Stegostoma tigrinum: one gene and its partners. The protein of the gene in region 1 interacts with the protein of each later gene in a pairwise test. Links are inferred from orthologs where the notes say so. Each region holds a gene or a part of one and is shown in the gene's direction. Other genes may lie near its edges.

Region 1 (7,941 bases):
TGTGTTATCTCTGAGTCCAGCATCAGTAGTTCTTACTATTTCTTATTTCTAGCTAAGCCTGCTTTACTTAACCCATAAGAAAGCTTTCGAAAAAGGTGCAGCAAAGTATTGCCATCAGACTGCAGATTTTGAAGAAGATCAAAAGGAGGCGTTCTTCCCACCGATGTTTTAGCACATTACAATCAAGATTCCTTCAGTATTGCAGCCGCATCATTTACAGGACAATAAGTAATCCTTATCCAAATGCGAATGGACAGAATGCAAACTCTGATCTATTTTACATTAAGAGTTTTGACAGAAAGATCAGAGATAACCAATCACAGAAATAGACAAACTTATTGAAACATATGAGATCTTGAGAGAAATTGATAGGGAGATACTCAAAGAATGATTCTTCTTGTTGGGGAGGCTAAAATTAGGGACATTGTTTAAGAATAAAAGGTCTGTCTTTTAAGACAGTGATAAGAAGAACTATGTTCTTCAGGATCATTAGTAAGACACATGCAGAGGAGGTTCACAAGAATGTCCCAGGAATGGAAAGCTTAACATATGAGGAACGCTTGAGGACTCTGGGACTTTACTCATTGGCATTTAGAAGGATGAGGGGGGATCTAATTGAAACTTACAGAATACTGAATGACCTGGCACAGTGGATGTTGGGAAGATGTTTTCATTTGTAGGAGAGACAAGGACCCAAGGGCACAGCCTTAGTGTAAAGGGAAGACCTATTAGAACGGAGATAAGAAGAAACGTCTTCAGCCAGACAGTGGTGACTCTATGGAATTGACTGCCACAGAAGTCTGTGGAAGCCAGGTCATTAAGTACATTTAAGACTTGGTTCTTGATTATCAAGGGGAACAAGGGTTTCAGGGAGAAAATGGGAGAATGGGGTTGAGGAACTTATCAGCCATGATTCAATGGCACAGCAGACTCGCTGAGCCGATTGGCCTAATTTCTGCTTCTATGTCTTATGGTCTTATTTTCTTCCAAGAAGGCAGTGAAGTTGGATCTTTGAATTTATTTGAGGCTCATGAGTTAGATGGAATTTTAATAACAAGGGAGTCAAGGATTACATGGTGCAAATGCGAAAGTGTAGCTGAGACCACAGCTAAATCAGTGATGATCTTAAGTGATGGAGCAAGTGCAAAGACCCAAATGCTCTACTCCTAAGTCCTATTCAATTGAATTTAAACTTCATAGGCTTCCGTGATGGGTTTTGAACCCATGCCTAATGCTCCAAGCAAAGGCTCAGGTTTTCTACAAATGGGAGGTGAAGTTAACATTAAATTAAACCTATCAAGGTGTTACTGAAGGCATTCTTCTCCAGTGTGAGTACGGTACAAGGTGTGCTTTTGTGTATTGCATAAGCAATGGTTTAGGGAATTTGAAAAGGAGTGGGATTGTATTTGCTGTGTGTTTCAAAATCTCTAAACTTGTATTGTGTGAATAGTTCGGTTTTATTCTATTTTATCTTCATAGCTGGTGTGAAATAAAATTTACTTTACTGTTGAAACCAAATCTGCAACATTGCATGCTTATATTTCAGTTAGAGACCACCTTGTCAAAACGTAAACAAAACAGTAATAACTTCTGGTGGGTCATTCTGGTGGAGGATTGTCTGGGAATTTTTGAATCAACTGTTAATGGTGAATTGTTAAAGTTATGGCTACATGGTGGCTCTGGGCATAAAAAGCAGCTTTGTTGTGGTGAAGTTTATTGTACAGAGAGTTGAAGATGACTCTGAATTTGCTAAGGCTTTTCTGGAATCGAAATTGTAATATCTAAAATCTTTGACAAAATCTAAACACCGTTAGCAGATAAATGAACAGAAGAGCAAACAGCAATGTCCCATAAGGGCGAAATGCATCAAGTGATTATACAATATTTAGAATCAGGAGAAAGGAACTGGGATTAGCAACAAAACGATAAGAAAGGAAAAAGAATTGACTGGAAAAAGAAAAATGAAAAAAAAATTTGAAAATGAAAAGGGAGCAAAATGGAAAGTGAGTAGAGAGAAAACAGGGAGGTAGTGTTCAAAAAACATAAAACAAAAAAAAGGATAAAGAATAACAGAAGGAGATGGATTGAAAAGACTGGAACTCCAAAGAGATTGGGAATTTTTAAAAAAAGGAGTGGGCCAAAAGAAGGCTTAGAATAAAAAAGATAGCAGCTCAGAGGATGATTCTGATTCCAATGAGGGAAATGATTTTATATATGCTTGGTGCCTGAATTCAACAAAATGTATTTTATCTCATTTGAAAAGCTAGTTAAACAGATGAAGTGGCCAAAAGAGGTTTGGATCGTAAAAGGAAGATAAGTGTTTTGATATGTAAAACTATAACTTTGAATGTTCCTTGGTTAAACTGGCACTATATAATGCCTCCACCTGAATTGATGGGAAAGCTTCAGGAGTTCAGCATGCCGTAGTGCGATTATAAATTTGCTGGCACATCTTTCTTTTACCCTGCCTTGGCTGCACTATGAAAATTCAGCCACCAGTGCCAGAAGTAGGTAGTCTTCATAGGCATTCCTCCCTCTCAGGATGTCACCTGTGTCTGGAGTATATTTCACTTCTCAAATGAACATCATACATTGTGCATTTTGGGCAGTATCATGAATGGTAAACCCTTCTGTAACTAGCACAGATGGATGACACTGGGCTGAAGGTAACTTTATTGTCCTTATAATCTGCCACTCCACCCCAATTATGGGCCTAAATCCAGATGGACAACTTCTCAAATTATTGATTTCCCTCCTGAATGGGAACTCATCTCCATAACAATGGCTAGGGTCCAATACAATCCTTGTCGTATGTGATCACTCTCTAGGATTGCATCAGGCGCGTTGTTACATTTCTCTGCACCACTGTCACATGGTAGCAGTCAAACAAAGTTGAAACAAATACAGAAATTGTCGTAGAATCTCAGTAGGTCTGGCAGCGTCTGTGAAGAGAAGATAGAGTCAATGTTTCAGGTCCAGTGACAGTCAGATTTCCAGTATCTGCATTTCTTGGGTTTAGACAATGTTGAATCCTTCATGCTGAGCCATTGTCTGAATTTAACCTCTGTGCATTTGCGTGGAAGAATGAATTTTAGTTGCAGTGCCGTGTCCATTGAGTTTGAGGGTCTTTCTAATATTTCATAAAGTCCAAATGAAGGAAATTCAACACTACATCACGTAACCCCAAGCCCCCACCTACCCCAGGCTGACCTTTGATTCTCTAAACTACTTGTCTTGAAAGTATTCAACGGCTGTACCTACCGCCACCTTCTAGGGCAGAGAACTTCAAAGTTGCACACCCCTCTGAGAGAAAAAGAACCCTCCTCATCTCTGCCTTAAAAAGGGCAAGCCTAGTTTTTAAAACAAAACAGTGCCTAGTCTGGACCCACTCACCTTGTTATGGTTATGAAGATCTTATATTTTTCGATATGCCTCTGTCACTCTTCTGTGGAAAAAGGCTCACTTGTACAATGTAACAAAGTGTGGAGCTGGATGAACACAGCAGGCCATGCAGCATCTCAGGAGCACAAAAGCTGGCGTTTCGGGAGGGTCTAGGCCCGAAACGTCAGCTTTTGTGCTCCTGAGATGCTGCTTGGCCTGCTGTGTTCATCCAGCTCCACACTTTGTTATCTTGGATTCTCCAGCATCTGCAGTTCCCATTATCTCACTTGTACAATCTTTGTTCAAAAGACAACCCACTCCTTCTGGGCATCAACTTAGCAAAACTTCTCAGAACTGCCTCCAAAATATTTACATCCTTTACTATATAAGGAGACCAAACAGTACTCAGAACGTGGTCTCGCAAACTGCAATATAACTGAAACACAACATTTGCACGTACAATTCTTCTTGTAGTAATGGACATGGTTCTATTAATCTTTCAATTACTTGCTGTACAGTTGTACTAACTTATCATGACTCATGCGCAACATAACTCTGCACTTCAGACATTCCATGTTTAACAAAACTCTGCTTTTATATTCTTCCTACCCTTGCGTTTCACAGGAGTCACGCTGCTGGACTAACTGTCAGTTCAGGTACATAAGAGCATCTACCAAATGTTGTGGAAAACTATCTGCAAAAAAGATGGACAAATGCAATTCGGCACTTGTCACCCCATAAGTCCACTCTCAGTCATCAGCAAGGTGATGAAAGATGTAGTCGACACTGCGAACTAATAGTGTTCACTGATAGTTGTCCAGAGCTACTCCACACTGATTACAGCGAAAGTTCAGGCATGCATAAAAGCGATGAAACTTCAGAGGTGAGGAGAGTGGGTGCCTTGAATTGAAACTGCCCTTTTATTTCCTTACCTGGCTGACTTTAAAATTGCGTGCGATAACACTTCGATGAATGGAACATTTTACTGGTTAGACGCTAACTTAGAACCAAGTTACTGGCGGAGGAGATGCAAATATAGAAACTGCTGCAATAGAAACAAGAATCGCCGAAAACACTCGGCTTCTGTCGAGCAAAAAAAATCTCGGTGTTTTTTTTTAAAAATTGTTAAATATGTGACTTTAACTGAAACTTTTAAGACGCGTTAAAAAGAGATTGCGCCCAATATCGGTGATAGATGCAACATATTTATTGCTAGGGAGACGGCCAGAGAAGGTGTGTGAAGTTTCGATCTCAGGCAGTGCAGTGTAGAATGTACCAGTGCCTCCTGTGAGCTGCTCCTGCTCGCCTTTCGCTTCGGTCATGGCGGCCGAGGTAGAACCAGGGGCTGCCGACAAGGAGATGGCCCAGAGCCTGCACACCCTGCTCAATGCGCTCAGCCGCTTCCACCAGCAGGTCTGTTACCGCGCTCCCGATCTCTTTGATTTGAAAAGTCCTGGATCTTCTCCCCGACCTTTTTGTTTGAGTGGGGGGCGGGCAGATAGTCTTCAGGCCCGGGCCCGCGCCGAGCCTGGGCCTGGAGTAAAACGCCAGCCCCGGCTCAAACGGATATTGCCCGAGCTTACGGTGGGGAGGGAGGGTGTGGTTTGTGGTTTCGGCCGCCGAGCACCGAGGTAATTTCAGGCGGATCTGTTTTCACTCGCCGAGAAATGTCTGCCCGAGGAGCTGGCCGTGCGTTTGAGTTAGCGCTCTCTGTTTAAATGACGGTGGAGCGACCTCAGGCAGCATCTTTACACATTGTTTTAGGTAGATACTGGCTTTTCATTAGAAATAATGCACAATTCAACAATAACTTGCTTTGGTGTATCAAAACAACTTAAGGCTTTTCACATTATTATAAAAGTGTAAGAGAGCCATATAGTATCAACATCTAGATTAAAGCGTAAATTTTGGGGTGTTTTTGCAGGTGACCACTCCTTGTTACCTTTTTTAACGACCTTTACCAGAATGTGGTACTTGGTAAGAATTGTTTGAGGTAGTTTACTGTCACCAATCCTTTTGTCTTTGCTTTGTTTTGTTTTGGGCCTACCTAGTGCTTAGTAGTACAGGATATGCCATTGTAGAGTACCTCCAGAAAAACATGGTTTTATACGTATGACAGCAAAGGGGAAAAGGTAGTGTAAGCACAGCTCATCCATCCAAAAGTTAGAGTCGAATTCCTTGCCTCTATTCACAGCTTGACATCAGTAGAATAGGTGGAGCCAATAGAATTAGCAAAACTTCCTTATCAGGATATCATGAAGATGGAAAACTAAGCAGAGAGGGGGAATTCTAGAGTTTGGGGCTGAGGAAACTGAAGATTTGGTCACCAGCAGTGGAGCAATTAAAATCAGGGATGCTCAAGAAGCTAGAATTTGAAGAACACAATATGTCTTGGAGCATTGTGGAACTTTAGGACTTTACAATGATACAGGGGAGCCTATGAATGGATTTAAAAACAAGAATGTGTGTTTTAAAAATCAACGCATAGTATATTGGCTCCCAGTCAAGCTGAGAACACATGTGCAATGGGTGAATGCCACTTGGAGTCATAGAGATTTTGCAGCATGGAAGGAATACCATTGGCCCAACTTGTCTGTGAAGGGTTGAGTAGAAGATGACCTGACAAAAAGACAAAGATGATGTTATGGATTTGGAAATAGGTAGTCGTGTCATTACATGAATATGAGGTAGGAATTTCATTTTGGGTCAAACATGGCAATAAAGCTTAGAACAGATTAGCTTAGAGGGATAAAGCCAGTTGCTAGGCAATGGGATTTGGAGCAGGGGTCAAAAGTGATGACTGTGTGTTTTAATTGAAGGAGATAGTGGTGTGTTCAATACTGGTGTCAGGTATGGAGTGTCTTTCTTTCAATTTCTTCTTAAGATATGTGCGTTGTTGGTGATGCCAACATTAATTGCCTTGAGAAGATGGTGGTGAGCTGTGTTGTTGAACCACTGTAGTCTTTGGGGTGTGGGTACATCCACAGCTGCTTAGCAAAGATTTTGACCCAGGCAACAGTGAAGGAACAGCAATATAGTTTCAAGTCAGGATGGTGTGTAGCTCGGAGGGGTATTTGCAAGTGGTGATAATCCTATATCTCTGCCCTCGGTTTTCAAGGCGGGCAATCTGTTAACAATGGTGAAGTTTAGAATGGTGGTGAGATAGAATTGGGTGTCATCAGAATGTGTGTTAGGACTAATGCCATGCCTTCAGGTGTTGCCACCTAAGGTGAAAATGTAGATGAGAAATAAGAAGGGTTCAAGTCTCCATATTTGGGGATGCTAAAGTCTTAGTGTAGGAAGAGAAATCATTGCAAATTATTTGCCAACCTAAGATAAGAACAAAACCAGACGAGAGCAGCCCGAATGGATGAACATGGAGAAGCATTGGACGAACATGGTGTGGTGAACCACGTTCTCATGTTGTGCTGCATACAGGCCACAGAAGCAAAGTTACTTTTGTCAGTCAAAGAGGATGTTGTTTATTACTTTGATAAGAGCTGATTTGTTAATATGGTTGGTATGGAAAACTAAATTGAGGTCCTCTATTCATGGATTTCTGGGAAAAGATTTGGGAGGTGAAAATTGCTTCACGGATTATGGAGAGAAATGTGTGATTGGAAATGGCACTATAGTGTTCAAGAAGTTTGGTAGATTTTAAAAGAATGGGTAACCACACTGGAAAATCTGTTCGCAACATTGGGTAATATAGGGACTAGGAGAGGAAGTGGATAGTTAGTAGTTTGGTGAGAATGGGCTGGTTGGAGACGTCCTATGGCACAGATGATAATATCCTTGCCTCTGATCAGAAACTCAGAGTTCAGATCTCATCTCAGGACCAGATGGCCAAGGAAGAAATATTCCTAACATTACCAAACAGGTTGAGTTTCAAACTGTGTAATCTTCTAACATATACAGGTGGCAGAAGGTAAGAGCGGAAGAATTCCCTGGTTAGCTATGTGATGGAAAGCAAGTTGGAGTCTTTATTAGAACTACTCACAGATCATGCAAAATACAAGCACAGATATATCCTGCAACACAGATTGATGCCATTGTCATGGTTGTATAACTCCCATTTTCACCGGGGTGGATTTGAGGCTAGCCCCTCCTTGCTCTATATGTGGCAGAGGTCATGACATTGTTAGACTGACCTCTTTTCGGGCAGAGAACTGAAGGAGAGAGATTGCCGGTGCATTGGATGAATCTAATAGACAAGATGAGCTTAGAGAGAGCATGAGGGCAGAGAGGAGAGAAACTATAAAAAGAGATGTGAGTTCAGGAATAGAGCTGGAAGTGGGGGAGCATTATTGGAAGTTTAATCTAGCAGACTAGTAGAACGCAGGGTCATAGCAAAGACAGCAGACCGATCGTCTTGATGAGTTCCCCATGCTGTGGTTGTAATTTGGAGTGGACAGTGAAGGTAGTTAAAGAAGATGGCTTTCTGTCGAGGAAAGAATCCAAGGTTTGGTTTTAGACTCCTTTATCATTGATCCTGAAATTGTAAGCAGTTTAGCAGACATGAAAGCAATATGATAACGTTTTCAGTGGTTGAGTCAGATT
Region 2 (8,366 bases), on another chromosome or scaffold:
GTGGGGTGGGTAAAGGTTCTGAAATGTTCAATCTGCCATGATCCTAATGAATGGTGGGTTAAACTCAATGGGCTGAATGGCCAACTCCTGTTCCTATTTTCCAACCACATGCCAGTGAGTTAGAGCATGAAAGATCGAGAAAGTGGCAGAAAAAATGATGCAGGATGGAGACCTTTAGACTTTTGGGGCATTGTGTCAGATGGGACTAAGGACGGCAGGTTGCACCTTTGCAGGATTGGAATGAACATACCTGTTTTTTTCTCTTTTTATTTCAAATTTTCACCCAATAGCTGCAATGTAATGTGGTGTACATAGATTTCCAAAACATGTTGATGAAACAGTGCCGCACAATGACTGGTGAGTATTTTTTGGCCTGGAGAAATGTTTACAGTGGAATTCTCAACAGCTCAGTTTTGGAACTCTTGCTTTTCCTGATATTCATAGGACCTAATTTCCAAATTTACAGATGACAGTGTAACTCTTCAAAAGACATTCACACATTGGTGGAGATGAAGTTCAATATGCAGAAATGTGAGGTAAGGCACTTAGGTACAAATAACATGGAGAGACAGTATAAAATAAAGGATACTATTCTAAAGGCTGTGTAGGAGCAGAGGGAGCTGGGTGTATATGTATGTCAGTTATTAAAGGTGAGACAGGTAGAGACATAGAAACATAGAAAATAGGAGCAGGAGTAGGCCCTTTGGCCCATCAAACCTGATCTGTCATTCATGATGATCATGCTGATTATCCAACTCAATAACCTGTTTCTGCTTTCCCCCATACATCATTTTATGCCTTCAGCCCCAAGTTCTATCCTTCCCTGAAATCATACAAAGTTTGCCTCCACTGCTTTCTGTGGCCATGAAGTCCACAGACTCACCGCTCTCTGGATGAAGAAATGTCTCCTCACCTGAGTGCTAAATGGTTTACCCCACATCCCCAGATTGAAATCCCTGATTCTGGACTTCCTGGTTATTGGTAACATTGTCCCAGCATCTAACCTTTATAGCCTTGTTAGAATTTTAAGCCTTCGCTGAGATCCACCTTCATTCTTCTGAATTCCAGCAAATGTAATCTATTCAGTTCCTCATATATCAGTCCCAACATTTGGAATTCTACCAGAATTAATCTGGCGAGATAGGAAGAATTGCCAATGCTGGAGTCAGAGATAACACAGTGTGGAGCTGGAGGAACACAGCAGGCCAGGCAGCACCAGAGGAACAGGAAAACTGACGGCTCCTTTCCTGCTCCTCTGATGCTGCCTGGCCTGCTGTGTTCCTCCATCTCCACACTGTGTTATCTCTGAATTAATCTGGTAATCCTTTGCTGTACTTCCTCTATGTCAAGAATGTTCTTCCTCAGATAAGGAGATCAAAACTGCACACAATATTCCACTCGCCATCCATTGGCTCCATCTATATTTCTCCCTGCCTCGGAACAGCAGCCAACATAATCAAAGACCCCTCCCACCTTGGTTATAATCTCTTCCAACCTCCTTCATTGGTCAGAAAATACAAAAACTTAAACACATTTACTGACAGATTCACGAACAATTTCTTCTCCCTGTTAGTAGACTTCTGAATGGGCCTCTCAAGTTTCAAATTTAATGTTCTTTGTGCACTTTCTCTACAGCTGAAACATTATATTCCTCAGTCTTTGTATGTCATGATCTGCTGGTGTGCACGCTAAACTTCTCACTGTATCTAGGTACACATGACAATAATAAATCAAATCAAATCACCAAGGTTCTGTATAATTGCAGCAAGACAGCCGTGCTCCAGTACTCGAATCCTCTCGCTATGAAGGCCAACATAACATTTGCCTTCTTCACCTCCTGCTGCACTTGCATGCCTGAAGCATTAACTCTGATTTTTTTCCTTCACAGACGCTGCCAGGCCTGCTGAGCTTTTCCGGCAACTTCTGATTTTATTCCTGATTTTTACTCACCTTCAGTGACTGGTGTACAAGTCAGGCCAGGTCTCAATTCCATTCTCTCAATATAATAGCCATTCAGACAATAATCTGCCTTCTTGTATTTGTTCCCAAAGTGCATAACCTCTCACTTGCCCACATTATAAGGCATCTGTCATGCATTTGTTAACTCATTTAGACAGGGATTAATAAAGAATGCAATATTCCAGGCTTCATTAATACAGGTGTAGAGAACAAGGGTAAGGAAGTTATAATGAACCTGTAAGAAACACTGCTTAGACCTCAGCTGGAATATTGTGTATAGATCTGGGTTCCAAACTACAGAACACAGAACATAGAACAGTGCAGCACAGTACAGACTCTTTGGCCCACGATGTTGTGCTGACCTATTATCCTACAAGGATCAAACTACCCTGCATCCCTACATTTTACTATCCTCCTTGCGCCTATTCAAGAGTTGCTGAAAAGTCTCAAAAGTGTCTGATTCCACTACCACTACCAGCAGCACATTCCACACGCCCACCACTCTCTGTGTGAAGAACCTACCTCTGACATCTCCCCTGTACCTTCCTCCAATCACCTTAAAATTATGCCCCCTCATAGAAGTTATTTCCGCCCTGGGAAAAAGTCCCTGACTATACACCCTATCTATGTCTCTCATCATCTTGTATGCCTCTATCAAGTAAACTCTTGACCTTCTTCACTCTAATGATCAAAGCCCTAGCTCCCTCAACCTTTCCTCATAAGACCTGCCCCCTCCCATCCAGGCAGCATCCTGGTAAATCTCCTCTGCACCCTCTCTAAAGCTTCCACATTCTTCCTGCAATGAGGTGACCAGAATTGAACACAATATTCCAACTGTGGTCCAAGCTGAGTTTTATAGAGCTGCAGCATATCCACATGGCTCTTAAAGTCAATTCCCCTGCCAGCGAAAGCCTATACACCATACACCTTCTTTTCAATCCTTGGGTCGCAACTTTAAGGGATCTATGGACATGGACCCCAAAATCCCTCTGTTCCTCCACACTGATGAGAATCCTGCCATTTACCCTGTATTCTGCATTCAAATTCAACCTTCCAAAATGAATCACTTCACCCTTTTCTGGTTGGATTCTATCTGCCACTTCTTTGCCCAGCTCTGTATCCTGTCGATGTCCCATTGCAACCTACAACAGCCCCCCATGCTGTCCACAACTCCACCAACAGGAAGGATGTGAGCACATTTGAGAAAGCACAGAAGAGTTTTCCAAGGATGGTGTCAGCGATGAGGTTAAATGGAGAAGTTCGGACTAATTTCCGTGGAAAGGGAGAAAGCTGAGGGGAGATTTCATGGGAAATTTTTAACATCATCCGGTCAGAATAAGTCAGGAGAAAATGTTCCCACACATAAACAGATTGAGAACCAGAGAGCACAGTTTTAAAGTGTTTTGCAAACTAAGCAAATGCAAGGTGAGAAATATCTTTTTCACTTAGCAAATGTCTGGAAATGTCACGGAAACAGATTCTGTTGAGGCATTTGGGATCACATTAAATGTTTGCTTGCCATAGTCCATGTAGGTGCCAGCAGCCTGGGTTCAGTTCCTCTACTGTATTTTGTTCAGAAGAAACTGACGTGGAGGAGGGATGTGTTAGCATTGAAGCGTGTGTAGAGGAGATTTCCCAGGGTGTTACATGGGCTGGACAATTTCAATTTTCAAGAGAGATTGAACAAATGGAGGTGGTTTTCCTTTGAGCAGAAAAAATATTGAGCAGGAACATGATTGAGATGAATAAATTTATAAGGGGCATAGATAGGTTACCAGGAAGAAATGTTACCTCTTGATGGGGGGGGCCATTGACCACAGAGTGTAGATTTGAGGTAAGGGGCAGAAGGTTTAGAGGATACGTGAGAAAGAAACTTTTTCACTAAGATGGTGGCAGGAAGCTGGATCTTATTCCTGTAGGAGTGGTAGATGTAGAAACCCCTGTAATATTAAAGAAGTATTCAGATATGCAGTTGTGATGCCAAGGCATATAAGGGTCATTAGTCCCAAAAGGGTCCACAGAACTCATGATCAGAGACACAGAATTTTCTAAGTGGACAATCATCTGAAGGTTTTGGAGTAGATTTGTACCTCGGGTTGTGGGTGTTGAGGTTGGTTGTCTTGGTGAGCTGGTTTCTAAACAAGAGCCCAACTCGGCGAGCCAACTCACCTCACGATAATCTGAAGATTGCAGGAACATCACCTCCCTGGACTGACTTATTCCCTCCCTAATGCCCCAGCTACACTCACCTTCACTGGCTCCATACCTGCCTCTTTGACCTGTCTGTCTCCTCTCCACCTATCTGCTCCTTTATCCATCTTCTATCTGCCTCCCCCTCTCTCCCTATTTATTTCAAAATCCCCTTCCCTGCCCCTATTTCTGAAGAAGGGCCTGGACCCGAAACGTCAGCTTCCCTGCTCCTCTGATGCTCCTTGGCCTGCTGTGTTCATCCAGCTCCACACCTTGTTATCTCAGATTCTCCAGCATCAGTAGTTCCTACTATCTCAGGACAATCATCCTCTTTTGTGAGTGATTGTCACTAATGAAGAGCATGAAAACACTCCTTCTCACCCTTGCCCCTCATCTGAGGCACTGAGACCCTAAGGTTAAACCACCGTAATTCAGCTCTCTCTGTGATCTGAGAGCAACTCTAAGGGACATTGGCAACTTCTTGAAGGAGTAACCCTCCTCCCTCCAGATCTGCAGTTCCTACTATCTCGGCAACGTTATTTATTTGGTGACCAAATGATTACTTAAATAGAAACAAAGTGCAAGGAAATGGTGAAAATGCCGGAGATTGGCAATGATCTCACGGGGCTCATTGAACTGCTGGCGACAGGATGGGCTGAACAGCCTCTTCGCTTCTGACAGAGGAGGAATCTCCCGGGGCGGAGCCAAGGGGGGATGGGTGGGGCCAAGAGGTGGGTGGGGCCTGCAGCAACGGCTGGGTACGTGGGCGGAGCCAGGGACGAGGAGGGGCGGGGCACGGCATGCGCGAGGTGGCGGCGCACGGTGGGTGCGCGCGCGTGCGCGCTGCAGGTCGCGGGAGAGTGCGCGGACATTTTGTCGGGGTCGCGGACGCCGTGCCGGTTGGAAGCGGGAGATGTGAGGAAGCCGGGCCTCGGGACAGGGATAGCAGAGGGACACGGCAGGCTGTGCCGGTGTGTGTGAGATCCGGGACCGTGTGTACATTTACCGACTACCGAGGATCCTGTGTGGAGCCTGGGCCCCGGCCTGCCTCAGCTCTCAGGCCGCTGTTGTTCCCTGAGTCGGGGTCAGTGTTCCCCTTGGCCTGGGGAGAGTAGGCCTCCCCTCGGCCCCCGGCTTCATATCCAGCACCGGCCCACCATGATGTGCGAGGTGATGCCGACCATCAGCGAGGACACGCTGAGCCCCCGGGGCTCGCAGTGCGGCGCCGACACCGAGGCCAACTTCGAGCAGCTGATGGTGAACATGCTGGATGAGCGGGACAAGCTGCTGGAGAGCCTCCGGGAGAGCCAGGAGGCACTGGCCCTGTGTCAGGCCAAGATGCAGGAGGCCTTCCATGAGAGGGACTCGCTTCAGAGGCAGCTCAACACCGCCCTACCTCAGGTAGGGGACGCGGGGGCCAGGTTTACCCAGAACCCCACCTTCACCGCCTCCACCAGACCCCTGCTTTCCCCTTCACACCCTCCACCAGACCCCCCCTTTCCCCTTCACCCCCCCCTTCCACCAGACGCCCCCCCTTCACCCCGTCCACCAGACGCCCCCCCTTCACCCCGTCCACCAGACGCCCCCCCTTCACCCCGTCCACCAGACGCTCCCCCCTTCTCCCCCTCCACCAGGCGCTCCCCCCTTCTCCCCCTCCACCAGGCGCTCCCCCCTTCTCCCCCTCCCCCCTTCTCCCCCTCCCCCCTTCTCCCCCTCCCCCCTTCTCCCCCTCCCCCCTTCTCCCCCTCCACCAGGCGCTCCCACCTTCTCCCCCTCCACCAGGCGCTCCCACCTTCTCCCCCTCCACCAGGCGCTCCCACCTTCTCCCCCTCCACCAGGCGCTCCCCCCTTCTCCCCCTCCACCAGGCGCCCCCCCCTTCTCCCCCTCCACCAGGTGCCCCCCCTCCAACCAGGCGCCCCCCCTTCGCCCCCCCCCTCCACCAGACGCCCCCCCCCTCCACCAGGTGCCCCCCTTCGCCCCCCCCCCCTCCGCCCCCCCCCCTCCACCAGACGCCCCCCCCTCCACCAGGCGCCCCCCCTCGCCCCCGCCCCCCACCTCCACCAGGCGCCCCCCCCTTCACCCCCTCCACCAGGCGCCCCCCCCCTTCACCCCCCTCCACCAGGCACCCCCCCTCCACCAGGCGCCCCCCCCTTCACCCCCTCAACCAGGCGCCCCCCCCCTTCACTCCCTCCACCAGGCGCCCCCCCCCTTCACCCCCTCCACCAGGCGCCCCCCCTCCACCAGGCGCCCCCCCCTTCACCCCCTTCACCCCCTCCACCAGGCGCGCCCCCCCTTCACCCCCTCCACCAGGCGCGCCCCCCCCTTCACCCCCTCCACCAGGCGCGCCCCCCCCTTCACCCCCTCCACCAGGCGCGCCCCCCCCTTCACCCCCTCCACCAGGCGCGCCCCCCCCTTCACCCCCTCCACCAGGCGCGCCCCCCCCTTCACCCCCTCCACCAGGCGCCTCCCCCACTTCAGCACCTCCACCAGGCGCCCCCCCCCTTCAGCCCCTCCACCAGGCGGCCCCCCTCCCCCCCTCCACCTCCTCCACCAGGCCCCCCCCCTCCACCAGGCGCCCCCCCCCCCCCACCAGGCGCCCCCCCCCCTTCACCCCCTCCAGCCCCTCAACCAGTCCCCATGTTCCCCCTCCACCCCCTCAACCAGTCCCCGTGTCCCCCCCCCACCGTTCCCCTTCGCGCCTTCAACCAAATCCTCCCGGTTCCCCTTCGCCTTGTGAGGCCGCCCTCACTCCATCAAACTACCCCACTCCTTCAACCGACCTCTCTGTTTCATCCCAACCCCATCTGCTGAACCAACAATCCACACCACCCCCCTATCTTCACCCCTGTACTAGACTCTATCACCTACCCAACCCTCACGCAGGCTCTAATCAACACCACCCCTGACACTCAACCAGCCTGTAACCAAGAACCCCATCCATCACCCTGATCCTCTCCCCTCAATTCTTGTTGCCCACCTCGATTTCCCCCCTCAGGTCACCGCATTCCCTTTTCTTCCCTGTGCCACCTTCGCGCTGTCATGTGTGGTCTTTCTCTCTCTCTCTCTCTTTTTCTCTCTCTCTCTCTCGCGCGCGTGCTCTCGCTCTCTCTCCCTCTCCCTATCCTCCTGATACTGTACTTTCCACAAAGCTGCAGGATGAAAAGCTGAGCGCTTTGGTTTCATAAAACAAAATCGTCTTTTTTTTTCTTAAACTTGTCCAAATGCTTCAAGAAGGGAACCTTGTCTCCGCTAGTTGTAGATCATTTTGCTGTTCCATTTTTTGGCCACTTTGTTTGTTTCTCTGTAGATCATCTTCCCCCTCCACACCCACAACTATCCTGGCCTAAGGCTGCTTTTTGCAAATTCATGGAGTAGGTCTTCATTTCTGTTGGAGCTATATCCTATCACTGTCACAATACAAAATATTTTAATGCTTATTTTTATTACATACATTTTCGACAAATGTTTGGTGGAGTGGTGACACTGATTCTCAATATTTTGAGAGAATCTGTAAAATCTGAAGTGAGATGTCAGTCTGGCAGGTATTGAGTGTTATGATGTGCTTTCCTCATGGTGACACAGTTAAGGTTATAGCTCACCCCTAAACTTTTGAGGAAACTGTTTATTACTAAAAATGCATTGTTGATAAGAGTGCTACTTGCCTTCAAGGAAGATTTGATGATCTGACATTTCAGTGCTGTTGTCTTGGGCTGCTGATCATGTACTTGCATAATCAGATTAAGAAGTGTTCCCAGTTTTTTGGTGAAATGTTTGCATATTTTGGATTTGCTTCCGTTTATTGTGTAATAATATTACTAATGAATCCTTAAAATAGTTAAATTGAACAGGCTACACAGATGATGTAGATTGTCATTGTGGTCATCATAGAAACTGATTGGAAAGGCATTTTCAGTGGAATGGAATGGAGTGGAACCAGTTAAATTTAAATGCGATATAAAGCTTCTATAACCCACAATTCTAAAATAGCACATTCTTCTCGTGTTCACAAGTGTTTCAGTTTTAATTGTATTGTCTGTTTTTGTATTTGATTCGTGCAGTCATTTGTCATATTGTCAGCACAACTAAATTGGCATCATGTATATGTTACAGTTATAACTTCTATTGTTAGGCTTGATGAACAAAGGGAACTTTGGTTTTAAATAGATCACCACAGGAAATATTGGACAAACTACTCTTTTGCCACAACAGACTGTTG
Region 3 (7,689 bases), on another chromosome or scaffold:
TTTCCTCAGTGCTAACGTCACTCATCATAAAGAGTCTATAAATGAATTATAAAATGTAGTTAGTACACTAGCACAAGTATGCGTATAGAAGATTCAACGTGCAGCCGTGCAGAAGTATCATTTATTGCTTCAAATCAGTGGATAAGGGCCTTTCTTCTGTTAAAACTGCTTTGCTGAGCAGTGTGAACAGGCAGAAAAATCCATATGATAATTTGAGGCTCCAAAGGTAGTCTTGCCAATTTCTTTTGAGTTGCAGCAGTATCTCTACAGAATAAATATTTTTGAAGGAAGTGCAGCAATTGGAGTTAGTGGCAACACCAGACTTGACATGTGTGCTTGCATTACCCAGTTCTTCTTCAATATCACCTCTCTTATTCCCTTTGGTTTGTCATGGTGTTTATCTGATATCCAGTGGAAGTAACATATAGTAGCAGCAGATGGGTGTTTCATGGCTAACATGAATGACATTTTCCATAGCAACTTTTAATGTCATATGTAACATGCAAAAGCGCAAGAAAAAACTTGACACTGAGTTAAATAAGGAGATATTACAGCAGCTAATAACCAATAGATTGTAACTAAAAGCGTCGTTAATGCAGTACATTATAAGAAATAGATATAAGTAAAGATACTGAGAGGTCTGGGGAAAAGTTCATGTCTTTTGAAGTCTGTGTCCACCACATTAACAACATTAGTCTCATCAATCTTCCTTGTAACCTCTTCAAAAAACTTCAGCAAGTAATTTAAACACAATTTGCTGTTTACAAATCTGTATTGGCTTTCTTAAATTAGCCCATACTTTTCAAAGTGACTATAAATTGATTTGAAATTAAACTGATTGACCTGTAGTTTCTGGACTTATCACCAAAGGTTTAATATTATTTTAATATTTAATAATTCTCTGGTCCTCTGGCACAACACCCAAGTTTAACAAATACTACAAAATTACAGACAGTATCTCCATAATTTCAATGATTACTTCCATCAGTCTTCCTGGACCTATGTCATCTGGTCATAATGCCTTATCAATTTACAGATAGCCTATTCATTAGCTTCTCCTTATTGATTGTATTAGTGTCTTAAAATATCTGAACAACTTCTGCTTTCACCAGGACCTAGGCAATACCTTCTTCCTTGGTAAATGACAATTTTAAAATTAAAACTTAGCAAGGAACAAGTTAATGGAGAATGAAGCACAGGCCAGCATGTTTGGAGGCAGTGGAAGGTTGTGTGATTAAATAAAGGTGGAAACGGTTCTCTTAGGGACAATGCTTAGGGATGCAATCAGAAGCTCACTGAGGGATCAAATATGAAAGCAAGCTCCAGCCACAGAAGGTCATCAGGGATAGGAATACAGTGTGTGCCTAAGGAACAGAGTTTGCAGTGAGAATCAAATTTCCCAATATTTAATTGGAAGAAATTTCTGCTTATTGAGTACCAGATATCACAAAAGTGATAAGAGACAACAATTAGAGGCAACAGGGGAATCAAAAGGGCTGTTGTGAGATAGCACTGGGGGCCACCAGTTTACATGTATAAACTGATGCTGTATTTTCTGATGATATCTCTGAAAGGCAACATTGAATAAGGAATAGGACAGGACCAAGAAAATGAATGGCATCAGAGGTAACCACGTGAGAATGCTTGTGAAGCCATCGCAGGTAATTATTCTAGCTACAAACGGATAGATAAAAATGGAACAAGGCTCACGTGACCCCAAACGGTTGGAAGACCTGAGTGGAGAATGGTGATCAACAATACCAATGTCGCAAAAGGGTAGAGACAAATAAGGTGAGATAATTTACCTTTTATGCAATCAAACAGGATATCAATTGCGACTTTGATAGGAGCCTTTTCAATGCCATGGTAGGAGCCAAAAACTAATTGCAGGAATTCAATAATGAAGCTTCAGAAGAGATAGAGAAAGAAACAAATGTTATACTGATGAGCTGAAATGAAGAAGGGGGGACCACTTGAGAGGGGTACAAAAGCCAATCAGAACCATTGGCATTTACAACATATACCTGTATTGTATTTTCCTTGAACTAGGCTGTTCATTTGCACCAACAGTAGAAGTGATTGCCTCTCACAATTTGGACTTTACAACCACAACAGACAAGGCTCAATGACAGTTGTCCTTGAAGTTAAAAGATGATGGATCTTCAGGCTCATTAACAATGAATATGGAGATGGTAATGTAGCCTCAATCTGGATGCAGAATTGGAGAAAGTTGAGGCATGGAACTCATAATGTCATAGAGTCATGAAGCTGTACAGCATGGAAACAGACCCTTCAGTCCAACTTGTCCATGCGACCAGATATCCTAAATTAAACTAGTCCCATTTACCAGCATTTGGCCTATATCCCTCTGAACCCTTCTTATTCATGCACCCATCCAGCTGCCTTTTAAAAGCTGTAATTGTACCAGCCTCCAACACTTCCTCTGGCAGCTCATTCCATATATGCACCACCCTCTGCGTGAAAAAGTTGCCCCTTAGATCCCTTTTATATCTTTCCCCCTCACCTCAAAGCTATGCCCTATAGTTTTTGACTACCCTACCCGGCTATTCACCCTATCCATGCCCCTCAAGATTTTATAAACTTCTATAACATCATCCCTCAGCCTCCTATGCTCCAGGGAAAATAGCCCCAGCCTATTCAGCCTCTCCCTATAGCTCAAACTCTCCAATCCCCACAATATACTTGTAAATCTTTTCTGAACCCTTTCATGTTTAACAATATCCTTCCTATAGTGGGAGATCAGAATTGAAAACAGTATACAGATGTGGCCTAACCAATGTCCTGTACTGCAACAATATGTCATCCCAATTTCTATGCTTAACACACTGACCAATAAAGGTGAATGTACCAAATGCCATCTTCACTAACCTGTCTAACTACAACTCCATCTTCAAAGAACTATGAGCCTGCGCCCCAGTGTCTCTGACTGAAAACGACAAATGCTGGTGATCACAGTGGGTCAGACAACATCCATAGACAGAAAGAAAGCTAACTTTTTGGGCCTAGATGACCCTTCATCAGACTTGAAACATTATTTTGCTCTCTCTCGTAATGGACTCTGTCTGACCTGCTGTGATCTCAAGCATTTGTTGCTTTCAGTAGAGATTCCAGCAACTGCAGCAATTTGCTCTCCCAGGGTCTCTGTTTGGTAGCACTCCCCAGAACCCCACTATTGACTGTATAAGTGCTGCCCTAGTTTGCCTTACCAAAAGGCGACACCTCACATTTATCTAAATTAAACTCCATCTGCCACTCCTCAGCCCATTGATCCAGGTCATGGCATGGACGGACACTGCTCCTTGATGTTCTTCACAAGCAACTATGAGAAAGTGACATCAAACCTTCTTAAAATTAACAAAAAGGTCAGTACTCTTCACAAAGTTCCTTCTTGCAATGATCCTTCCAGCTCTTTAGACTTGATGCCATACTGTTCAAAATACAATACAGAAGTACCTTGAACACAGTCCTTCATCTCCCAAGAGGGATGGGTGTCATCACCAGTGTCAAAAGCTGTAAAATGGGATTAGAATATTTAGGTTAATGACGGATGACCAGGCCAACATGATGGTCTGAAGGACTTTTTAACCAAGCTGTAAAAACTCTATGACCCTAAAGATTTAAACAATAAAAGCAGATTAATACATACATCAACCATGATTTTTCTTGATAATAGAACCATGCATAAGAAGCAGAGGGGCCGAATAGCCTCGCGCTGAAGTGTTACCGATGGACCCGGTCCATGATTAGCACCTCGGATAACCAATCACAAGACGTCACGTTTAGACCAATCAGGGAGAGGCAGGAAGGCGGGACGAGAGTCTGGGTGTCGTCCAATGGGTGGGCGGACGTTCGAGACGAGGGGCGGTGATGAACGCCAGGGACGTCCAATCGGAAGGCGCACCCGGGGCAGAGGTCAGAACGCCGGTAGAGGTTCGGCCAATAGGCAGTGGTCTGGGGGCGGGGCCTGTGAGCTCGCGCGCAGCCTCGGCAGCGGCTCAGGAGCGAAGGGAGAGAAAGACAAGACGGTTGGGGCGGCGGGAGCTGGAGCATCCAGGGCGAAAGACAGAGAAGGCACGGTGCCACACCTTCCTTATCCGCACACAGGCACGCACTTCTCCCGAATAACACGGCGACGGCGAACTCAAAACGGAAAAAAAGGGAACCCGGCCGGAGTTTAATGTGACAGACCCTTCCCGGTGTCTCGCCATCTGGCCCGGTGGAGCTGGTTCGAAGGCCCCGATCGTGCTTGTGCTTCCCGCCCCCGAGCAGCAGCTGCCGCCGCTCGGTTATCTAACCGGCCCCGGAACTCGGTGGCCTTCCCGCTGAGAGAGAGAGAGATAGCGAGAGAGAGAGAGAGAGGGGGGGGGGAGGGGGCGGTCGGCGAGAGACGACTACAATAAGCGTTTGAGGGATCGCCGACGCTATGGGTGAGTGTCGCGCCTGCGTGCGTGCGCGCGCGCGCGCGCCCTCTTCCTCCGCCCGCGCTAGCAGGGGGAGCTGCGCATGTGTAAAGTCAGCTCCACCCTCCGCGATGGGTCTCATGTGGGGGGTGGGGTGTGTCTCGTGAGTGCGCATGCCAACTGGTCGCCTGTCCAGCCCCAGCAGAAAGTCCAGGCGGCGCCCACGTGCCGCTGAGGGAAGCCGGTGTAATCTTTGAGATGATTTGCAGTGACACATCCGTCAGTGAAAGCGTTACCACTTTTGGTAGGGCTCCCCAGGCGAGGGATTGTGTGTTGAATCTTGGGACTGTAGGATGTGCAGAAGGTTTTTGGGACCTTGGGAAACCTTGTCCATAGATCCTTGACAGAAGGACAACAGCGTTAAGAAAGCAAATCGGTGGAGAAACTCGCAGATCTGACAGTAGTTTCCACCTATGCTTCTGCATATATGCCCTGTCCAGAAGCCAATTCCCCACTGATGAAGAATCCAGTTCGAAGATATGTTCAAATTAACCTGTTCTGAGATGTTCTATCACAGCTCTTGAGCATGTAAGACTTGAACCTAGATCTCCTAGTCCAGAGATAGAGGTATTATCTCTGCGCCAGAAGAACCCACCAGCAAATCACCTGTTTGATAAATCCATCAGTTAATCAGTTATGGGCGTGTCCACCAGGGGTGGAAAACCCAGCTTTTTTTTTAATAAGCCTGTTCAGAGATGTTATGAAGTAGGTGGATCTTGAACCCATAAAAACCGAAAGACCAGAGTTCTCAGGAAAGGTCACTAGACCTGAAACGTTAACTTTGATTTTTTTTTTCTTCACTGATGCTGCCAGACCTGCTGAGCTTTTCCAGCAACTTCTGTTTTTGTTCCTGGGTCTTGAACCCAAACTGTCTGACTCAAGCAGCCCTAGAGAACCAACTCCTTTTCTTTTCTCCAGACCTGCTCTTGCACACAACTGAACGGCTTTTTTTTCTGCCACCAAATCACTCGTAATGTTCGTCTGTTATCTGCCACTGCTAACTCACCCGTGTTTCCAATTATCAGTGTAAGTGCAGAGCCTGACAGGGGAAATGCAGTATAGAACTCTTTTGATTTTTTATTTGATTTTTATTTCCTAATCACTGCTGGAGCAGTTGGGACTTGAACTTGGGCCTCCTAGCTGAGAGATAAGAACACTACACAAGCCCTAAGAAAGGGTTGTAGAGACAGGGAAGAGGAGTCAGACAATCAGCCTTTCTTTGATCATTTGAGATTTTAATTTTAAATGTATCTGGATCTAATGTTTTTACACGTCTCTGAAGCAGGTGGCTTTTGGATCCTGGACTCCTGGTATAGCAATAGGGACACTGCTGCTACACCACAAGGCCCCAAAACCAAATACAATTTCCAATCAGAATCTACTCTACAACTCCGGAGTTGTTCTAGATACCCCTTAAAGTGGCTTGCATTTCTAACACTGACTGGTCTCAGCGTGATCTCCACCAATATTACTGTAATTTCTCATGATTGTTTCTTTCGGACAAATAATTCTTTTCCATGTCATTAGCAAGTATTTATTTGACCAAAATAAGGTGGACATCATGAAGATAGTGACCAGATTAACTATCTCATTGCTGTTTTTGGACTTTGCAGTGCAAAACCTTGACTATATTTTGACTGGCCACTTTATTTAGTGGTCCAAGGTGCTCAGAACAAATTTGGTATCATTATAGGTGGGATTTTAGATAGAAGTTTTACATGTTGCAAGGTTAAGATTGCTGAGTAGAAGTTTCAACAAATTTGTACAATCTTATGAATTATGTGCTTTGGTTGGATCATTAATTTAAGTTGAGAGGAAAAAATGAGAATGAAAAGAAATACATTTAATTGTGCAATAAATTGTAAGTTAACAATCAACAAAATTTGTTAAACTTACAAAATTCCTGAAACCAGTCATATGTATCCTTGCTCTTAATTATAGTCTAATTGCAAAATTTTATTTCTAAGCACAATTGTATATGATCTAGTGAAAGAGAATGTAGTGTTTTCGGAGTTTTCAGTTCTGTTGTGGAGAGCACATGTTTTAGTGTTTTGGCAGCAGTTGAAAATACAGTAAGTAATTAAAGCTTTAAATCAAAATCAGCCTGTTGGGCAGTTTTGCATTGAACAATGATAGTTCTCAAAGCCTGCCTCCCACCATTCAGATGGGTGTATAATATGTAGACAGTTGAATAATTTGTTCTAATGTGGTACACAAGGAGATTTCTGTAATCAAACTGGAGAAATGTGTTATCTATTGGTTTTTGTGTGAATTGGGTTCTTTAGCCTTGACTACTGCTTTGTTCCTTGTGGTGGAATGGTGTTTTAGGGATTTACTGTAACAGAACAAGGTTACAGTTACATAATCCTTGAATTCAAGTTGGTGCATTTCCCAAGATTTGTAATTTTTTTAATGATACTACAAATTACCAAGGAAACCGCTAGCTGACTTGTTATTCAGTTCCTCAGTTCAGTATGAAGTTTGTGTGGCCAATAAGAATAATTGATTTTGTTTTGCTCAGCCAAGTTGTACAGTTTAAATAGGGTTCAGTTCTAAATTGTCTTTAAATTTGCATTTCAAGCATTCACCCTTGTATTTAAAAAATCAGTGTGAAGAGAAAAGAAATTGACCTTGTTATTCAAGATAATAAAATGTGAGGCTGGATGAACACAGCAGGCCAAGCAGCATCTCAGGAGCACAAAAGCTGACGTTTCGGGCCTAGACCCTTCATCAGAGAGGGGGATGGGGGGAGGGAACTGGAATAAATAGGGAGAGAGGGGGAGGCGGACCGAAGATTATCTTGGAATCTCCAGCATCTGCAGTTCCCATTATCTCTGACCTTGTTATTCAGTTGTCTTGTAATGTGAGTTGTAGTTTCTGCACAATGAGGATTTGATAGATAGGACTTGCTGGTTTATAGTTCTTCTTACAATCATAGGACATCCCAAATGCCTTGCAGCCAGTGAAGCACTTTTTGATGTATAGTTACTGTAATGTAGGAAACATGACAACCAGTTCTGCACAGCAAGATCCCACAAATGACAACATATGGACTGGTAATCATTTTTCTGCTCATTCATGAGATATAGGTCTTGCTGACTGGACTAGCACTTATTGCCCATTCCTACTTGCCCTTAAGGTAGTGTTGGGTTTCAGCTTTGAAATTCATTAGTCCCTGAGCTAATAATAGACCCCCAATGCCAACATG
Region 4 (7,889 bases), on another chromosome or scaffold:
AAACCATTCCCCTCCCCATTCCTGTCCACTTTCCACAGAGTCCATTTCTTCCATGACTCCCTCATCAGCTCTACATTCCCCGCCAACTTCTCCACCACTGCCGTTAAAGTGGATGGTAACCGCAACTGCAGGAGTTGCAACACCTGCCCCATGCCTCCCTTCTCACCTCCATCAAAGGCCCCAAACAATCCTTCAGAATCTGGCAGAGATTCACTTGCACTTCATCTAACCTCATGTATTGTATCCATTACTCCCGATGTGGCCTCCTCTATATTGGGGAAGCCAAATACAGAGTTGGGGAATGGATTGCAAAACATCTGTGCTCTGCACGCAGCAACCAACCCGACCTTCTGGTTACCATCCACTTTAACTCTCTCTCCCACTGTCCTGGTGACATGTCCATCCTTGACCTCCTTCACTGGGGGTACATCACCTCATATTTTGCTGGGAGCTTACAGCCTATTGGCCCTGAATATCAACTTCACCAACTTGAAAATCCCATCTCCTCCAGCCTCGCCAACTTCCAACTCACCTATCCACTCCACCCTTCCCAGTGACCCACCACAATAACCCCCTCCCAGCATCCACTTAGCTCCATCCCACCTACTCTTCCCCCCAGCCCCATGGCCATCCATCTATTTATTTCTGGGCTTGCCTCCCCAGCCCTGATGAAGGGTTTTCAGATCAAAACATTGACCTTCCTGTTCTTCGGATGTTGTCCGACCTGCTGTGCTTCTCCAGCTTCACATTTATTGACTCTTGTTCCAATCTCTCTCTTAAAAGAAACCAGGACAAAAATACACCTCTTAAAGCCACAGCATCGTCACATGCCTAACAAAGATATTTAACTTGTAGAATTCCAAATACCATTTACTTCCTTTTGAGCCTCTAATCAGGAATGCTGTACAGATCCTTACCTCCCAATGGATGCTGCAACTGCCGGCTCACCTTCCAGCTCCCTCCTCCTGCAGCACTTCACTTACCAGGTTTGAATTGCTTTACCATTAAGTACAGTTTCTCCTTCGTTCACTTTATGAGTTTGTCTACAGGCCAATTTTTTATTCATATGTTGTAGGCAGCCACCTGCTGTGTGTATGAGTTGTTCTTAAAACCATCAAGTACTTAACAATTGGAAGTTTCTACTCATGAGTCCATTGGAATGCTCATCACTGTTATCTTCTTCAAAGCAACCTTACTACCTGAAGAACTGATGCTCTCTTGTTGATCACCATGTTGCATGGGCTGTGATGCCAAACACTGCCAACTTGTGGTTGGGGTAGTCTGCTGTCACCATCCCCTTGCAAGGCTCTTGTTTGAGCCTGAAGGTCTACAGTGTGATAGAGGGAAAATCGCGCGTGGGTTTATTGGAGATTTCACCAAGATTTAATTGATTGCATGATGGTAATTGGGTAAGGGGGATGTCAGTAAGATAAACTTTATTAGTATAACTATGTGGATCCCTGGGATATAGCTCTCCATTCTACAAGATACTGAGCTGTTCAGACTTTTCCCTATCATCTGTGTGACATCACAGACTCCACTAACAACAGTGTGGGACTACCTACAGCACATGAAACTGCAAGTGATTCGCCATCACCTCCTCAAGGGCAACAAGGGATGGGCAATAAATGCTAACCAGCTGTAATGCCCACATCTCACGAGTGAATTTTTTTAAAAATTGGATGGAACTTAACGCAGTCTCTAATATTTAACTCTTTACACCCGTTATTTCACTCAACACCACATTCTTCTACAAAGACTGCTGTAGGAGCTGTTTTTTGCACCTGAGAGCCTCATTTTAACATCTCACCTTCAGTAGTGCAGCACAGCCCCAGCATTGCTGAGGGAGTGTAAACCTGGATTTGGAGCTGAAGCAGGAGCTGATCTCACAACCTTCTGACTGAGAAGCCCAGCAATGGCTGACTGGAATGGGTGGATTATTAGTTCCTCCAATTGGCAAAACCAGGGCCGTGTGACTTTGGAGCTCCCTGCCTCGGAACGCAGTGAAGGTGGGATCATTGAATGTTTTTGTTGCAGTGGAGGATGGGTTGCCACTCAGCAAGGGATTATCGGGTAGGGGGTTGGGTGGATCCTGAAATTCAAACTACAAACTGTTCAGGCATGCACTAATTGAATGGTGAAGCAGACCAGAAGAACTGAATGGCCCCTCCAATTCTGAATCTTCGTAACTAGTAGGAGGCAGTGGCCTAGTGGTATTATCACTGGACTGTTAATCCAGAGACCCTGACAAAATTCCGGGGACCTGAGTTCAAATCCCACCACAGCAGATGGTAGAATTTGAATTCAATAAATATCTGTGATTAAGAATCTAATGATGATGATAAACCCATTGTCTATTGTCAGGAAAAGCCCATCTGGTTGACTGATGTCCTTTAGGGAAGAGAAGTGCCATCCTTACCTGGTCTGGCCTACATCTGACTCCAGACCAACAGCAACATGGTTGACTCTGAGATGCCCTCTGGGTAATTAGGGATGGCGCCAATAAGGCAGCCTGGCTAGCAACGCCCTCATCCGTGAATGAATAAAAGGGAAAAAAACTCCAGATCAGCAGATTGCATTCCCCTCCAGCTACACCAGACTGAACTCATCCTGAAAGATGGTAGTTTCCAAATGATTTCAGTGTCACGATACGAGTGGTACAGGAGACAGAGGATGTCTAGCCCCTTGAAGCTTATCCAGCTTGTAGTGTGAGCCATCTGTAGCTCCGCACCACTCAATGCCCCCATCCTCCTCACTCCAAATGCCTTGATATTCAGTCCAAATCTATCAATCAGTTGGAGTCTCTACAGCAGTAGCAGTTGATCCTCAGCACTCACTATTAGGCAAGTGATTTCATGTTTCTGCTATCCTTAAGGGAAATCAATGTTGTTTAACCAAACACTGATGCACATTTCATATTTTACAACATGCATTCCCTGTTCCCACTTTGTCATTGTTTGCAGGTGATTACTAGAGAATGACACAATTCAAAGCATTGAAGCAAATTGACTCTGTTGTTAATTCATTTTTTGTGTACATTCTCTGTGTGTGTGTGTGTGTGTGTGTGTGTGTGTGTGTGTGTGTGTGTGTGTGTGTGTGTGTGTGTGTGTGTGTGTGAGATAATGTATATGAGGCTTCATGTGGAAGCGTGTGTGTGCAAGGATGTGTTTGTAAGGACGTGTGCATGAGGATGCGTGTATAAGGGTCTGTGTGAGTGGGTTTTTATATACAGATGTGTAAGGCTGTGTTTGAGGGTGTGTGTATGTGAGGCTGAGTGTGTGTGTGTGTGTGTGTGTGTGTGTGTGTGTGTGAGAGAGAGAGAGGGGAGATGTGAAGCTGTGTGTGTATGTGAGGGGTGGTGCAAGGGTGTGTGTGTGTGTGTGTTGTGTGTGTGCGCGCACGCGCGCACATGCACATGAATATTGAGTGTGTTTTGGTGAGTGTACATGAATATGAGTGGATACAATGACTTGTGTGGGTTTTGGTGTTTGTGTAAGTGAGTGGGAGTATGCCTATGTTGTTGTGATATGTCTGCAGTTTTGAGAGTGAGAGCATATAGCAATATTGGAGAAACAACTCCACAGAGTGAGTACATGCATACATACACTCATCCTGGTCACCAAGTCACCCTTTATTTACACATGAGAAGCCATTGACACTGACCCAGCTCTCTCAGAGCAAGGAGGCCCTCTGACACTCCTGTTTATATCTATCAGTGAGGGCTCCCTGATTGGACCAAGTTAACAGTCCCAATCAGAGAACTCATATTCTGTGAGGTCCAACTGGCTGACCTCATTACAATCATTACAACAGGAGCACACAGGAGCATAGTAGATCATTCAGCCGACTGAGATTGCTCTGCCATTCTAGATCATGGCTGAATATCTCCTTGAAGGCCATTTTCTTGCACTGTCATCACCTTCCCTGATAACTGAGCTTCATGTGAATATGAGCATTTGTGCATGCATGGATGTGTGTGCCTAAGTGTTTGAATAATGTACATATGTGTCAATATGGGTGTATTTGTGTGCGTGTGCATACGTGTCAATATGCATATGTGTTAATATGTGTGAGTTTGTGTGCACACGCATATATGTTTCAATACACATATGTGTCAGTATCTTTGTGTATATGTGTGTGGGCATATGTGTGTGTGTGCATGTGTGCGTGTGTGCCTGTGCGTGTATATGTGAGTATGTGTGTGTGCACGCGTGTGTGTTTATATGTGTATGTGTGTATGCCTGTGTGAGTATGCAAGTCTGCTTAGCCCTGCCAACACTGTCATTAGTGCCTGCAACATGACTCTTCATGTCACTTAAACACTAGTGAGCATTCCAAAACAAAAATAGAGAGCCGCGCATTGGTGGGGAGACAGAGCTGTGATTTAGTTGAGTCATTCCAGGGATCCAAGGACTAGGACTGGTATAATCTCACAGGCCCTTCCCCCTCACTCACTGTTGGCCTGGTGTATTTTTAGCTAATATTACTCCAGCCACGCAGCTTCCTCAGCTGTTCTGTCACTCCAGAAAGTGAGTCTGCCTTCACCAAGTTACACAGCCCAGACTAAGGTGAGTTTACATCTAACTTCTCAATCTGTTGCATGCACAGAAAACAAAGGCAGTGTTGTAATAATATCAGTATTAAAAGACAAAACTAACTTAATCTCTGAATTTGAGAAGGTATAATTGCAGAAATTGAGAGCACGAGGGAAGTTACGGGTGCTGACCCTGTTTTGTCCAGATGTTTTGTTCAGTGGGTACCATGCTAACAAATTTAAACCTCAATTACGCTCCTTCATTTTACAGGCACTATGAAGTAACGATAAAATCAATCAAACAGTCAATAATAAAGATTTTAAATCAGTAGAACTGTGTCACATAGTGTAATTGAGAACATTTAGGTCTCAGGCGACTGGGGGCTAGCCAACGTTATTCCTTTGTTTAAAAAAGGCAATAGAAGTAATCCAGGAAATTATGTCAGTCATAGGGAAATGGTTGGAAAAGATTCTTCGGGACAGACTTTATTCACACCTGGGAAAGTATGGACTTATTAGCTATGGGCTGCATGGCTTTGCGCAGGAAAGGTTGTGTCTCACAAACTTGATTGCATTTTTGAGGAAGTGACAAAATGATTGACGAGGGCAGGGTGGCGGATGTTGTCTACATGGAGTTTAGCAATGCCTTTGACAAGGTCTCTCGTGGCAGGCTGATACAAAGACATGGGATCTGCAATGAGTTGGTCAGATGGACACAGAGCTGGCTTGGTCATAGAAGACAGAGAGTAACTGTGAAGAGTGTTTTTACTGACTAGAGATCTTCGGCCTGTGGGGGTTCCGCAGCTATCAGTACTGGGACCTCGGTTGTGTGTAATATATATAAATGATTTGGAGGAAAATGTGGGCAGTTTCATCAGTAAATTTGTGGATGACACAAAGACGGGGGGAGCTAGAGACAGTGATGAGGATTGCCATAGGATACAGCAGGGTATAGATAGGCTGGAGACTTGAGAGGGGAAATGACTGATGGAGATTAATCCAAACAAACGTGGGATGATGCAATTTGGGAGATCTGATGTAGGAGATAGGTAAAAGGTAAATGGAAGAATCCTTAATAGCATCAACATACAGAGGGATCTAGGCCCACAGTTCCCTGAAAGTGGCATCACTATTGGATAAGGTCATCAAGAAGATATATGGCACACATCATTGCAGCAGAGAGTACAAGATTTGACAAGTCCTGTTGCAGCTGTAGAGAACTTTAATTAGGCAACATTTAGATTATTGCATACAGCTCTGGTTTCCGCACTACCCAAAGGACATGGAGACTTTGGAGAGAGTACATAATAGGTTTGGTAGGATGTTGCCTGGTTTAGAAGGTATTATGAGGAGAGATTGGACAAACGCGGCTTGTTTTCACTTGAACTTCAGAGGCTGAGGTGTGACCTGGTCGAAGTTTACAATATTACAAGAAGCATGGACAGAATGAATAGTTTTTCCCAGGGTAGAAATGCCAATTATTAGGGAATAAGCCAAAAGGAACGAATACAGAAGTTGCTGGAAATACTCAGCAGGTCTGGCAGCATCTGCGAAGGAAAAAACAGAATTAACATTTCAGTTCCACTGGCCCTTCCCTCAGTTCACAGATGCTGCCAGACCTGCTGAGCTTTTCCAGCAACTTCTGTTTTTGTTCCTGATTTACAGCTTCCGCAGTTCTTTCGGTTTTTATTAAGCCAAAAGGGTTAAGTTTAATGGAGATGTGAGAGGGAGGTTTTTTTACACAGAGAGTGGTCAGTGCCAGGAATGAGCTGCCAGAGGAGGTGGTGGAGGTGGACGCAATAGCAACATTTAAGGGGCATCTTGACAGAAACAGGTGATTCTCCAAAACCCAACAGTTGCATTCTTTTGTGACCTTGCGCCATAGAAAATCATGTTATAGGGAAATCGCTGTAGAAAATCATTATACTTGTACAGCAGAAAGTTCACATTATCCAAACTGCATCCACTATTCATCAATCGCGTTACAGTCAATTTGCATTAACAAAACGCGTTTTATGGCAGAACTAGCCCACAGATAGTAGGAACTGCCGATGCTGGTGTCAGAGACAACACAGCGTGGAGCTGTAGGAACACAGCAGGTCAGGCAACATCAGGGGAGCAGGAAAGTTGACATTTCCGGCCAAGACACAACTGAAGGAGGCTGGTACAGTTAAAACAATCCCCTGATATCTCTGTAATCATTTGAATTTTGGACAACTGCTATTGCCTTTACTCCACATTTTGCTACCACACCTGTAGTCATCGAGGCCCTAAAGCCTGGAAGCCCCTCACACATCTTTCCATCTGCCCATATTTCATTCCGACATTGGTTAGGCCACGTTTTGGAATACTGCATTCATTTCTGGTCTCCCTGCTATAGGTTGTTAACTTTGAAAGGGTTCAGTAAAGATTTACAAGGATGTTGCCAGGGTTAGAGGCTTTGAGCTATAGGGAGAGACCGAAAGGCTGGGGCTATTTTCCCTGGAATGTTGGAGGCTGAGAGTTGATCTTATCGAGGGGCATGGATAGGCTGAAGAGCGAAGGTCTTTCCCCGGGGTAGGGGAGTCCAAAACTAGAGGGCATAAATTTAAGGTGAGAGGAGTAAGATTTAACAGGGACCTAAGGAGCAACTTTTTCATGCTGTGGGCAGTGCGTGTATGGAATGAGCTGCCAGAGGAGGTGGTGGAGGTTGGTACAATTACAACATTTAAAAGTCATTGGGACATGTGCATGAATAAGAAGGGTTTAGAGAGATATGGCAAAAACTGGCAAATGGGAATAAATCCATTTAGGATATCCGGTCAGCATGGATGAGTTAAGCCAAAGGCTCTGTTTCCATGCTGCACATCGCTACAACTCTGTGATTCTGTGAGCCCATTAACATGTTTCTACCACTTTGATAGAGATGCACTGACTCAGAGATGAGGGTGCTACCAAACGAACAACGGCTGATGTATAAATCGGCCAAACTAGGAAGTGCTCAGATCTTGGTGGGTTGAAGGGAGGAGGAAAGGGGGAATTACAGAAGTCGTGGGAGCAAGGCAGAGGGTCCTTATTAAAAGCATTAGGTCACGCTGACCCTAGCAAAACAACGAAAGCCAGAGAATTCCTATAATTTAAAAAGGCCTGAGATCCAAATCCAAATGCAGTTTGCGGCCTGCAGTCCCAGGTGTTCATGTCTAATGTGCCATTCTCTTTGGTGTCAACATAATTTCACTTTGAAAATGTTGCTGCGTACATTTTACACCAATATTGGTAAAACTGAGTTGCCTGCATCAGGTGAAACCACCCTAGAAACTACCTCTAAGCAGAGGGGAAAAGATTAAGTCATTTTCCAAACAAATAATGTTGGTGG

The links.
Region 2: the proteins of mbip (region 1) and liprin-alpha-1-like interact in binary tests that used the Homo sapiens proteins (3 or more experiments, as listed by UniProt). The two-hybrid records come from large-scale screens. The link is inferred for Stegostoma tigrinum from reciprocal best matches to the Homo sapiens genes MBIP and PPFIA1.
Region 3: the proteins of mbip (region 1) and rap1gds1 interact in binary tests that used the Homo sapiens proteins (3 or more experiments, as listed by UniProt). The two-hybrid records come from large-scale screens. The link is inferred for Stegostoma tigrinum from reciprocal best matches to the Homo sapiens genes MBIP and RAP1GDS1.
Region 4: the proteins of mbip (region 1) and txlnba interact in binary tests that used the Homo sapiens proteins (3 or more experiments, as listed by UniProt). The two-hybrid records come from large-scale screens. The link is inferred for Stegostoma tigrinum from reciprocal best matches to the Homo sapiens genes MBIP and TXLNB.

The regions. Positions count from the first base shown.
Region 1 is NC_081363.1:56,749,344-56,757,284, reverse strand, and holds the start of mbip (MAP3K12-binding inhibitory protein 1), read left to right. Parts: upstream 1-4,610; 5' UTR 4,611-4,701; coding exon 4,702-4,794; intron 4,795-7,941. UniProt on the Homo sapiens protein: Inhibits the MAP3K12 activity to induce the activation of the JNK/SAPK pathway. Component of the ATAC complex, a complex with histone acetyltransferase activity on histones H3 and H4.
Region 2 is NC_081370.1:62,702,130-62,710,495, forward strand, and holds the start of liprin-alpha-1-like, read left to right. Parts: upstream 1-5,003; 5' UTR 5,004-5,307; coding exon 5,308-5,550; intron 5,551-8,366. UniProt on the Homo sapiens protein: May regulate the disassembly of focal adhesions. May localize receptor-like tyrosine phosphatases type 2A at specific sites on the plasma membrane, possibly regulating their interaction with the extracellular environment and their association with substrates.
Region 3 is NC_081354.1:4,868,836-4,876,524, reverse strand, and holds the start of rap1gds1 (rap1 GTPase-GDP dissociation stimulator 1), read left to right. Parts: upstream 1-4,365; 5' UTR 4,366-4,444; coding exon 4,445-4,448; intron 4,449-4,594; exon of another isoform or gene 4,595-4,667; intron 4,668-6,468; exon of another isoform or gene 6,469-6,553; intron 6,554-7,689. UniProt on the Homo sapiens protein: Acts as a GEF (guanine nucleotide exchange factor) for the Rho family of small GTP-binding proteins (G proteins) that stimulates the dissociation of GDP to enable subsequent binding of GTP.
Region 4 is NC_081362.1:90,531,347-90,539,235, reverse strand, and holds the start of txlnba (beta-taxilin), read left to right. Parts: upstream 1-4,467; 5' UTR 4,468-4,568; intron 4,569-7,889. UniProt on the Homo sapiens protein: Promotes motor nerve regeneration. May be involved in intracellular vesicle traffic.